3 linked regions of the Tribolium castaneum genome follow. The protein of the gene in region 1 interacts with the protein of each later gene in a biochemical or structural test. Links are inferred from orthologs where the notes say so. Each region holds a gene or a part of one and is shown in the gene's direction. Other genes may lie near its edges. The genes, in order: TfIIFalpha, Cdk9 and TfIIB.

Evidence for each region.
Region 2: the proteins of TfIIFalpha (region 1) and Cdk9 form a complex in vitro, tested with the Homo sapiens proteins (2 studies listed by BioGRID, with this or other methods). The link is inferred for Tribolium castaneum from reciprocal best matches to the Homo sapiens genes GTF2F1 and CDK9.
Region 3: the proteins of TfIIFalpha (region 1) and TfIIB form a complex in vitro, tested with the Homo sapiens proteins (3 studies listed by BioGRID and IntAct). The link is inferred for Tribolium castaneum from reciprocal best matches to the Homo sapiens genes GTF2F1 and GTF2B.

Annotation. Positions count from the first base shown.
Region 1 is NC_087400.1:9,147,219-9,151,467, forward strand, and holds the start of TfIIFalpha (general transcription factor IIF subunit 1), read left to right. Parts: upstream 1-1,370; 5' UTR 1,371-1,500; coding exon 1,501-1,524; intron 1,525-1,579; coding exon 1,580-1,770; intron 1,771-4,249. UniProt on the Homo sapiens protein: TFIIF is a general transcription initiation factor that binds to RNA polymerase II and helps to recruit it to the initiation complex in collaboration with TFIIB. It promotes transcription elongation.
Region 2 is NC_087394.1:32,585,636-32,589,541, forward strand, and holds Cdk9 (cyclin-dependent kinase 9), read left to right. Parts: upstream 1-1,348; 5' UTR 1,349-1,574; coding exon 1,575-1,681; intron 1,682-1,751; coding exon 1,752-1,836; intron 1,837-1,883; coding exon 1,884-2,260; intron 2,261-2,317; coding exon 2,318-2,585; intron 2,586-2,784; coding exon 2,785-3,078; 3' UTR 3,079-3,256; downstream 3,257-3,906. UniProt on the Homo sapiens protein: Protein kinase involved in the regulation of transcription.
Region 3 is NC_087398.1:13,752,029-13,756,272, forward strand, and holds the start of TfIIB (transcription initiation factor IIB), read left to right. Parts: upstream 1-1,352; 5' UTR 1,353-1,484; coding exon 1,485-1,501; intron 1,502-1,574; coding exon 1,575-1,685; intron 1,686-1,740; coding exon 1,741-1,874; intron 1,875-3,919; coding exon 3,920-4,244. UniProt on the Homo sapiens protein: General transcription factor that plays a role in transcription initiation by RNA polymerase II (Pol II). Involved in the pre-initiation complex (PIC) formation and Pol II recruitment at promoter DNA.

The DNA of each region.
Region 1 (4,249 bases):
GTAGAAAAAAATAGTTTTAACGTTGGCACAAAAGTCATTCGGAGGAATTTTAGTAAAAAAAGTTGGGTTCAGTGTTTAATTTATTTTGAAAAAATATCATTAATGTTAAATCCAAGATGAATATGTAGATACGAAAACATAGAAACAGGGTTAAATTCCGTCTCAGAAAACAGTTTTTGATGTAAATGTGACAAAAAGTTCGTAATTAACTCTGCAATTTCTAATTTTTAAGAAGAAAGTAACGAAAATGCAAAATAATCATGTGACAGACAATTAAATGATATGAAAGAATAAAAAAAGTGCCACAAGTAACGCAGTCAGTCTGCCATCGAATTTTGAACTTCTTGAGTAAAAATGGTGAACAAATCTAACTTTTCTTTTAATCAATGGCACAATTTTATTGTATGTTTGGAAGTTTTTTCGACTAAAAATGAAACTATTGAGTTAGAATTCTGTTTTTTTGCGATTATTTCAAAAACTGTAAGAGATAGATCTATGAGATGTTAATAAGAGTAATAAGTGTAGCTCTAATAAAATTTTCATGCACTTCAAAAAAATAATAGCTAATGTAATTTATATTTTCGATGATTAACAATTATTTCGATGATTAATTATTATTTTACAATTTTATCAACCTTATTAAAAAAAATTATTCGGTAAAATGCGACGTTGGTGTTTTTACAGTTTTGAAACAGCTAATACCTACTTATTTAGTGAAGTAATAAAAAGGAAATTGACAAAAATTATTAAATATAGAAAATATCTAATCAGTTTGAGTTTTGGGATTATTATTTTACACAAAACCTTAAAATGTTTACGATCTTAGTCATACCTACATTTCATCATGTATTTCCTGTGGATATTTTTTATAAAATAATAGAGCAATATCGGATTATCAATTTCATCCGAATTGCTTTAAAGTTTTTGGAAGTATTTTGTATTATTAAAATTATTTTTGGAATTTATGAAATTGCTGGAATTATTTGCGGACTTTTGGAATAATTTGTGAATGACTGGAGTTTTTTGGAATTATTCGAGATTATTTGAATTCCTTAGGACTATTTGTAATTTCAGGAATTACCCACTAGGGAATTATGAAAATTACAGGAATTAATTTGGAGTTTATACAAATTATTGATATTTCGAAGTTTTTGGTTGATTTTTTGAAATTACTAGAATTTCTGTCGATTTTTTTTGGAATTAAAGTTAGTTGTACATTTTTTTTTAAATTAAAAGCTTCCCGGTTTTTATGGAATTTTATATTGTAATAAATGTTTCTGTTTGTTAATAAAAATTAGAAAACAATAAAAAAAATACAACTGACTCCACGGTTTTTGTCACGTTAGAAAGTATCTGCCCTAAGTATGGCACCTGTGTTACCGACATGGTGACCTAACCTCTAAACGAACTTGTTTGACAGCTGTTTTCTAAATAGGTCTATTTTTTAATTTGAGTTTAATTTAACTAATAAATTTTGCAATTAATTGTAATTTGGTTAAAATGGCGACAAGTTCAGCCGCCTCTGTACGTATAAAATAACAGTTTTAAGTTTTCACAAATTAATTTTATTCTGTTCAAGCAGAAGCAATCACAGGCCCCAGCCGGTGTTAAGGAGTATACAATCAAAGTACCGAAAAACGTCCAGAAGCGATACCATGTAATGAGATTTAATGGAAATCTTGAAGTGGATTTTGCCAAGTGGACGCAGGTCAAAATGGAAAGGGAGAATAATTTGAAAGAGTACAAAAGCGTCGAAGAAGAACAACCAAAGTAATACATAACATAACGCACTTAAATGATCACTGATAACAGCCCAACAAATTGCATAATAAAAAGTATCTAAAATTTATTAACAAACGTCAAGATGTCATGTCATGTCAAGATTAACAAATGTCAAAGATACGTCAAATTCATGGTCGCCTTCGATAAACCCATTGTCCGAAAATTAGTATTGTTTTTATTATTTTTTTAATTTATTTATCTACGTTTAACCTAATTAGTTTTCAAATGAAACAAACAAAAAACTAATACACAAAAGTTGTCATTTTAGCAAAATCTTAAAAAAATTCATATCTTCGTTATTATAAAAGATACACATTTGAAACAAAGATATTATACTGACACTTTTTTACAGAGAATTTAATGTTATCAGCAGTTTATTTTAACTTTTAGTTTAGCTGCAATAACATAAAGTTTTATTTTTTTAAATAGGAATCATAGGCGGCTGTGATATTTTTGAAAATACTATTTTTCTCTGATTTGATATATCTATTTGTGTAACACATTATTTTTAAATATTTAAAAAAATATAACATTCCGCTTTTTCTTTATAGTAGGCTATGAAAAAATTTTGGATTTTCAATTGAAACTGTGAAAAATATATTGCCCAACAAGTATTTATGATTTATTGATTTTTAAACATTTTTTACAGAGAATTTAATAATGTTATTAACGTTTTTTTTAATCATTAGTTTAGCTGTAATAACCAGTGTGAGGAAATTTTATGGGCGAAGGTTAGTGCATGGGCGCGCGCTTGCAGTCAGATAAACCTTTAAATCGAAATGTTGTGGAACAGCTTACATTGTTGATATAAGTTAGGAAAGAGTATTAAAAAATGTTTAGACAAAGAATTTTTTGTTTCAACCCTCGCGAAGGGGCTGAAAAGACGTTTTAGCTAAAAATTTGCAAACACCTAAACTTGGACACATTTTGCGTTTACATACTCACATCTTCCTTCTGGATAAAGCTAGAAACTCCGTTTTTTTGCAAACAAATTTTCAATAAATGCAGATTTATACGTAGTTTAACAAGGTAGAGTTTTGATAAAGGGAAACCAAAAAAAAAATACATTTTCTTGTAACGTTGCATAATTGTGTAGTGAAATTTTCGAGATGCGAGAAAGTTTTTTAATTTAAAAGATAGACTCCCACATAATCGAGACGAAATAAAGCTAATACTTGAAATCAATTTTTGGTGCAAGAATCATTTCGTTATCTGTAAGACTCACCAAGTTATTGCAATTTAAAATTACTGCAAAATGCGCCTGAGGTGAAACCGAAGCGTATTTCCCTCTGAAGCGTGTTCATCGCCTTTGACAACATTTCGAGAGCTAAAAATCGTAATTCGTAAATAATTAAAAAATAATTAATGTCACTTATCTATTAATATTATACCTTTACTTTTAACCGCCCTAACTCTCAGTTAATTTTAATAATATCTAAAAAGTCAAAAGAACATTTTTATCTCATGTACTTATTTAAAAAGCATATAAGTGACCCAGTAAAACTAAATTGTAAAATTGTAATTCATTTCAAAGTATTCTTTGGTGTGACATTAATATTTTTTTAATTATTTACCATTTTTAGCCCTTGAAATGTTTTCAACCACACCACGTTTCAAAGGGAAATACGCTGCGATTTCACCTCGAGCACATTTTGTAGATAACTAAATAATCCTTCTTTAAAGTCCTTTTTAAAAAAATATACAAATCGTAACGTTTCTGACGAATCAACAATTGTAGTTACACGCTGTGGTACTTGGTTAGAAGCAAATTTCTAAAAATTTTAATCAATTAAAATCATTTGTTTATTGCTTTAAACGACGATGCACAAAGCATTAAATAATGTAAAACTTTAGTTTTAACCACAAATTTAGTTTCTCAACTTAATTTTATTGAAAATAATTTTTGAAATATTCCAACTACGATCAAATTTCTAGAAACGTAAAATTTTAAATTATCCATTACAGTTGAGAAATTTGAGTCTACGTTGATAGAGTTAAAATCTGTAGAATGGTCATTACAAGATAAATTTAATGCAAAAATTGACGCAGTTGTTACTAGAAATCCCGATTTTCTAGTTTTAAAACAAATAGCGAATAATGTACCACCTTCGACATATTTTGCATTAGCACCAAACTTTTTATTTACTCCTGTAACCAGTTGTGATGTAGAAAGATCTTTTTCGAAATTCAAAGATATTTTAACCGCAAAACGGAATCAGTTTTCGAGAATTTAGAAAGAATCACAGTTATTCAAGCGTATTTCTCAGAGAAAATGATTAAAATATTTTTAATTAGTTTTTAATTTTAATTTCCACTGAATTAAAACGAAACATTTTCAAAATGTAATAGTGACTTACGCTCCACTGTATTAAACATCTTTATTGGTGTCCATGTAAGATTGAGGAAATGATGAAGTTATTTTTTAACGATTATGTCAAATTAGGTGCCTTGTCAGGGTTTTGCTTCA
Region 2 (3,906 bases), on another chromosome or scaffold:
AATATTTTCGGTTATTGTTTCGTATGTAATATTTTTTACTTAACTATAAATGTGGATGTGGATTTAATCTAACAATATTATATCACTGTATTTGACACATTCAGACAAAGAAATAAAATGTTTAACATTAAGCTGTTGGTTTTCATTCCCCCAGCACGCCGCAAGGAGGATTTGGATACGTAGTTATTTTAAGAAAAATGAAATGTTTTATTTGGTATAATTCAAGTGGCAGCTTACTTCAAGTTTCTGTCTCACAAGAAGCTTTCAGAAAAAAATTAAACTCAAGAATAATATCAACTGATAAATAATTATAAACCAATAAGCACAAAATATGAATGATCGCTAATTGCAAGCTCCCTGATTAATTATTCAACCATTAAAACCTTCATATTGAATTATAAATCGATCCTTCGGAGAGAAACAATATTATTCTCTTTCTTTAAGATTTATATCAGTTAGAAATTCTATTTATTTTTAAGTAGTACCGTTGAGGTGCCCTTCCAGTTAACAACAATTTAACAGTCTTGTTAGGCATTTTAAACATATTATTAGTCAAGCCAATTTTTGTCCGATTGGCGGTTACAGGGTTGCAACTCCTTCAAAACCTGCTACCAACTGAAACATTGATTCTGGATCACTTTGTATCAAAAATGAATACACAGACCAAAATTAGCTTGTCTTCAAAAAAGTTAATTTAGGAATTCCTTCTTACCTTTTGCTCCTGCGATGAAATTACACGCGAAGATGCTTCTTCCAAAGAAGGAAACGAAGGAAATAAGATGAAAACAGGAAGGACAAGGAAAAATATTAATTTTCACAATTCGACGACACTTGAATATAACGGCGGAGAGTTCTCAAAAATCTGAAAAGCTCTTACTTAAAATAGTGTTTCAAACACAAAACACAACGTCATGGTACCTTTTTTCCCTTTTTTCCGAACCCAGAGTACCATCAAGACACTTCAAGACCATGGAATATCAGCGACCTCTTCACAAAATGAAATTAAGTACTATTCGTAAACAGAAAACTGTAATCTTCTTAAATCAACAAAAGGCACAACAAAAAATATGATTAAGAACGCAAAAGTGTTAATATTGATTACTAAAGTCTTAATTTTTACGAATGATAATGATATTATCATTTCCTATTTTCTTTAAATAAATAATTATATAAATAAATTTGTTGGTTTACTGCGTTTGTAGTTAGAACATTTTGGTAGCAGTGCCAAAATGCTAAAAGTTATCAATTGGTGTTACAATTTGGTAGATTTTTTTTTAATTTCGATAAAATACTGTATTTTTCGAGCTGAAAACCATTCGCGAGCAGGCTCACCCAACCGCGCTTTTTTTCCGTGACATTGTCTATTGTCATATGTCATTCCTGGAGGTTATGTTTTGATTGTGTGTGTTTTTAGTGCAATTGTGATTCAGAAAAAAGCAGCGGAAATGCATTTAAGTACTTTAAATGTGGTGTTTTAAACCTTCACACGTTTCTTCTTAATTGACGAAAAACTGTGCTAAATATTGCCTTGTCTAAAGCTTGTGCAACGTTAGACAAGAGGCGATTTTGCAATCATGAATATGCGAGATAAAGAGAAATACATTGAAAATTTCCATTTCCCGTTCTGTGATGAATCGGAAAAATACGAGAAAATTGCGAAAATTGGCCAAGGAACGTTCGGGTAAGTGACTTAGTTGGGGTTACTTGGGGTCACATATTGTGCCCCATTTGTTGTATTTCTCCGATTGTAGTGAAGTGTTCAAGGCGAGGGACAAAAGTAATCCTAAGAAATTCGTAGCAATGAAAAAAGTGTTAATGGACAATGAAAAAGAGGGCGTAAGGGGTCATTAATTTTTTGCAAAGCTTTCAAACTTGTATTCTAGTTTCCAATCACAGCTTTGCGCGAAATACGAATTTTGCAACTATTGAAACACGAAAACGTTGTTAATCTTATAGAAATATGCCAAACTAAGGCTGCATACCGCAACAGATACAAGTCAACGTTTTATTTAGTGTTCGATTTTTGTGAACACGACTTGGCCGGGTTGTTGTCAAACGTCCACGTTAAGTTTAGTCTAGGAGAGATAAAAAAAGTAGTGCAACAATTATTTAACGGTCTGTATTACATACACAGCAACAAAATTCTTCATAGAGATATGAAAGCCGCCAATGTGTTAATTACAAAGAATGGTGTTTTAAAATTGGCCGATTTTGGCCTAGCTCGTGCATTTAGTACCAATAAGAATGGACTGCCAAATAGGTGAGTTCAAACAGTAAATTAAAAAATTGGTCACTAGTTTGTAATCTACTATTTCAGATTTACAAATCGTGTCGTTACGTTATGGTATAGGCCTCCAGAACTGTTGTTAGGTGAAAGAAACTACGGCCCCCCAGTTGATTTGTGGGGGGCTGGCTGTATTATGGCCGAAATGTGGACAAGGTCCCCCATAATGCAGGGCAACAGCGAGCAACAACAGCTCACTCTGATTTCTCAACTTTGTGGCACCATCTGCCCCCAGGTCTGGCCAGGAGTTGAGAATCTGGAGTTGTACAAGAAGATGGAACTCCCCGTCCAAAAGCGAAAAGTAAGTCCCGTAGGAACAAAGATCGCTTCAATTATAAGCCTAGAATATTTATTTAATCCTCTGTACGAGGTAATGTTTCCACCACGTTCTGAACTGTAGTTTATAAACCGTAATTATTTACATATAAATTCGGAAAAAATGTGATTAAACAAGATCACAGATTTTATTTTTATTATTATTATTTTTTAATCTTCTCCAGGTGAAAGAGAGGCTGAAGCACTACATGAAAGACCCGTACGCTTGTGATTTACTCGATAAGCTGTTGGTCCTCGACCCCGCCAAACGGGCCGATGCTGATACGGCCCTCAACCATGACTTTTTCTGGACTGACCCAATGCCATGCGATTTGAGCAAAATGTTAGCCACTCACACTCAAAGCATGTTTGAATATTTGGCTCCGCCGAGAAGACCGACACAAATGAGGCATCATTCGTTGCCAAGACCGACAACTTCCGCTGTGCAAGACAGCGGATACCAAGATAGGGTTTTTTAGTTGTAAGAAACACGGACATTGTGGTTATTTTCAAGTAATGTGGAAATTGTTTCTAAAGTGGAAACATAACTGAAGGTTTTTCGGGAACCCTAAAATTTGATGTTACTTTTTATTATCTTTTTGTAACGTTTAATATGATGTTACTTAGTTAACATAGCGAATAAACTGTGTAAAAACGCTTGGTGTTTTTTTGGGGTGGAATGAAATGACTTGTTAGTACATATTATATATTTTATTGGTTTGACTGCACTGCCATCCGGCCTTACAATTCAACAACATGGCACACTGTACATGTATCTGTAAAATAATATATATGTATCTGTACATATCTGTTAGCTTGTTTCATAGATCCTCTACATAGGTAAATAACATTCTTGAAGGAGAAACCTTCATTCAAGGCACTTCAATAATCATTGTCTTCTCTTCATTTAATTAGATGTAGTTTCCTACCCATTTCAAATTGTTCTAAATTAACGCAATAACATTGTAACTCTGTTGCTAATTTAGTTGAGCTTACCGAAAGTTTTGGCAAAAAGAACTGGTAAATAAAATGAACCACTCATAACAATGACCTTTCAGAATACTGATTACGAAACCGTAAAATTTTGAAGGCAAATATCACAGAATGCCCAACAAATTACACATTAAATCACATTTAATTGTAAAACATTGCGGAGGACGTCAAACTTAACAAACGAGAAATTAATCAATCATGGCATATTTACATTTTCGGGCGCGGTTAAATTTAACCCCTCCTTCACTTAATTAACTTAACATTAAATTGAATTTATCTAAGACATTCTGTATATACACAATAAATAACAATTC
Region 3 (4,244 bases), on another chromosome or scaffold:
CAATTAACTGCGTGATTAACGTGACCATATTGAACAAATGTGATTGGTCCATTCGCGTTATTATAACATTTAAATACGAAATAAATTTTAACAAAGCTTTGTATCTATAAATCAATATTAATATTGTATTTTTCAGTAATTAATAATTACAATATCTACTGAGAGCAAAAGTATAAAACCAAGCCAAAACTATATACCTTACTAAAAATACGACCAATTAGTATAAAGATGGGATGTTTTATTTGTAGCCTCCCATAAAAAGGAGATTTTTTTTACTTTTTAATATAATCTCCTTGTAGTTATTAGCACTTATAGTCAATTGATGTTTCGAAATCTTTATACTATCCTTGTGGACCGATTCTTGTAACTCTTCAAAAAAACTTTTTTTAGCTGTAATTTCTTCAAACTTTGTTTTATACTTATTTCCAGTGTAATATTTTTTAAGTCCAGTAATAGACTGAAGCTAAATTGTTATACATTGGCGCATAAAATCCATTGGATTGCGTTAAAATAGCTCCAAGCATTGAAAATATCTGATTTTTTTCGGTGAGCTTTTGTGCTCAAAGAAGGAGCAATATGCCACCCATTTTGCCAATTTTTTCTCATACTTAAAAACTGATAAAAGATATGATGTTTGTGTTTTAAAATCCTCAAGGTTTGAACTATTTTATACAACTTTCATTTGTAATCTTCCAATACCGTTCTTTGGATTTTTCTGACTATTTCTGCAGGAGAAGCACTTTTCAACTTTTTTCGACGTGGTGTTTCCTAAGGCCTGTACCTGTATGGCTCAATTGAAACTTTGCAATACAGTTTTAACTATGCTAATGTAGAACCTAACACATTTTAAAAATATTTCTTTACAGTTCGAAACTCAGGTTTCACCATTTCTTAAAAAATCGAAAACTTAGGGCAGCCAATACAGAATTTGATACAAGCTTAGTCACTCTTCGAAAGGATAAAACTACATAAAAATATAATAATTAATGAAAAAAAGTCAACTGCTTTCTATAAGAGACCGCGAATTAGTCATCACATTCTAATCTATAATTTCATTCTAAAATAAATTATTAAATTTGCGTTCCGAGCTCATTACGAAGGTTTTTTGAGCTTGGTCGAAGTAGTTGAAAAAAAATATTGCCAAAACTTCAACTTAAAAATCTAACTCGAGAAGAACTGTATGTTGTGAAAAAATACACAAACAATGTTTTGTCAGTTGGATGTGACTGTCTTACCCAAGAGATGGTTCCGATTTCCCGAACGTTTTAAATCAGCTTATATTGCTTTGAAATTGGCGCCAGTTTATTACTTTTGAGGTCGCTACTGTACGTTCTTAACAGAAATCTGCTTTACCAATAAACTGGAAGTCGAATGACTGAAACCTGTTTTATCGGTACAGTGTCGATTAACTATCACACTTGTCAAAACTTGAAAATTGTCATAATAACAATAAATAGAGAAGAAATAGTGCAAAATTGTACAAGATGGCGAGTAGTTCAAGGTATTTTAGCATAAATAACTTGTTACGATTCCAATTTCAATAATAATGATGTTAACCTCAAATAATATTTCAGGTATGACACGAATAAGGTTTGTTGTAATTCTCATCCAGATGCCCCCCTTATTGAAGATTACAGAGCAGGCGATCAGATTTGCTCCGAATGCGGTTTAGTAGTAGGTGACAGGTAATATTCAAATCAATAAAACGCATCATAAGTTTATTTGCTTGCATCATTGTAGAGTAATAGACGTTGGATCTGAATGGAGAACCTTCAGCAACGAAAAATCGGGGGTCGATCCTTCTCGTGTTGGTGGCCCCGAGAACCCCCTTCTTAACGGCTCAGACCTGACCACAATGATAGGCCCCGGTCGAGGTTTGTTTTATTTAAATATTCCACTCAAATAAGCCTTTAAATTAAAATGTTAGTGAAAAGCTTACCTTTTTGAAATAAGTTACTGTCTGTGCTACTGTGAAGTATTTCAAAACGTTTTGTTTGAATCACGAGAAGGTATTGAAAAAACGAATAAACGAATAAAATGTTTCGTAATGATTGTAAAAAATCGATGACTTGGAAAAAAGTTTTTAATAAGAATTGTAAAGCATAAAATTCTATATATTAATATTCTGCCGAATTTTTTGACATTATTCAAATAAACAGAGTTTAGGGTGGTTGCAATAAATATAAAGGGATGATCTGTACAATTTTAAAAAGTGACTATAAACATTTGATTATTTTGCAAAATTTTCTGCTGCGTTGTAATCCGAAGGTCGTTTTTGTATTGGAAATTGTTTTCATTATGAAAAAGACGTTTTAGCGAAAAAATTACACAAACCTAAAACTGGACAAATCTTGAGTTTACAACCTCGTGTCTTCCTTTTTGATAAAGCTAGAATTTTTTTTCACAAAATTTTCAATTAATGTGGATGTTTACGTAGTTACTTAGTTGAATATTTATAAAGGGAACCCGAAAAAAATACATTTTCTTGTAACGTTGCATATTTGTGTATCGAAATTTTTGAGATGCAAGAAAGTTTTTTTGTTGTATAAGACAAACCTCTATTGAATAGAAATGGAATGAAGCTATTCCAGTAATATTTAGACAACTCTTGATTATTAACTGGCAATATTGCTGACCAGGATACTTGCCTCTTGTGATCGGTTTGAAGTTTAAAAAAATTGGGAAAATTTTGATTTTTAACTGTTAAAATTAAACAAGCCCCCTCTAATAACCCGAACGGTATTTATTGTACCTACAATCCGAACGTTTGAATTTCGTAATCCGAAATACCACATGTTGATTTTAATTCTTGATAGTTGTTTGCAATACATTTTAATTTTGTATTTTTTTATTTTGAAACACTTAACGGTGTTTATAGCCACTGAGTATAATTTTTGTGGTAGGGATATGTATTTGCATGGTTATTTGGTTATGTAAGGTAACTGTAAACCGAACGCGTGTTGGGATTATTGATATTATTTGCAATCTGCAAATTTTCTGTTCGAATTATTCAAACATTACTGTACTTCATATCAGCTTTTGGTCACGAATCATTTCGATATCTGTAATAGTTTTTGAAATATTGGGAAAAATCCACTAATAGAGGGAGCACCCTTTTCAGAGTGTGTAGGGTAGGTTTCTTACGAAGTACTTATCAATACATGTTTATAGGAAACGTTTGTCTTAAAATTGAATGTTCTATCATCTGTTTAAATTCGTAACAATAAAAACGGAACACTCTGTATAAATGTTGCTCTTATTTCTTACGATGGGAAACACATCCAATAATTTTTAATTTCTACTGGCTAATTTTGTCATTGTTAAAGTCTTTCAATAAAGTAAAACCTGTGTGAATAACTTTTAAAGTTATTTGCATGCACAAGATTTTTTTACCCCATATGTGTAAACAAAAAGTAAATTAATTAGAAGTTGTAACATATTACCTTGTTGTTCGTTTTCGTGGTTTCAAAAGATTCACCTTTAACTTCAAAGATAATTGTTGGAATTAGTGCACTTTAAATTAACAGAATTGTATAATGATTGCTCAACGAAAAAAATGTGAGGTCTTTTCTGTGTCCCGTCCGTCATCAATTTGTGTTTCTTTTTCCTGTCCATATTTGAATTTTTACAAATGTGGCTCCTATGTAGGTTGCAAACCGTTTAACTGGTACTAAGTTCCTATAAATAAAAATTCACTTTTACTGATACTGTTCATAAAAACTGAAAATGAAATAGAAACCATGTGAAGTGTCCCGTCCGTTAAAATGGAATGGCTGCTAAAACATACTTTGTTTTTGATTTTCAAAACGTTTTTAACTTATATGTATAGAAAGATGCAAGCTTTTTCCCAAAATTTTGATTTATTTATTTTGACTGGACAACAAAACTTATCACAGTTTGTCTTTTAATTTTTTTCCAGGGGACGCCTCCTTTGATAGTTTCGGTGTCGCGCGCTACCAGAACCGTAAAACCATGAGCAGTTCCGACCGCGCTTTGATCAACGCTTTTCGTGAAATCAACGGAATGGCGGATCGCATTAATCTTCCAAGGACTATAGTAGACCGTGCTAATAACTTGTTCAAACAAGTGCATGATGGACGTAACTTGAAAGGACGCTCTAACGACGCCATAGCGTCGGCGTGTCTTTACATAGCTTGTCGGCAAGAGGGCGTCCCTCGAACGTTCAAAGAAATCTGCGCCGTCAGTAAAATTAGTAAACGAGAGATTGGAAGATGTTTTAAATT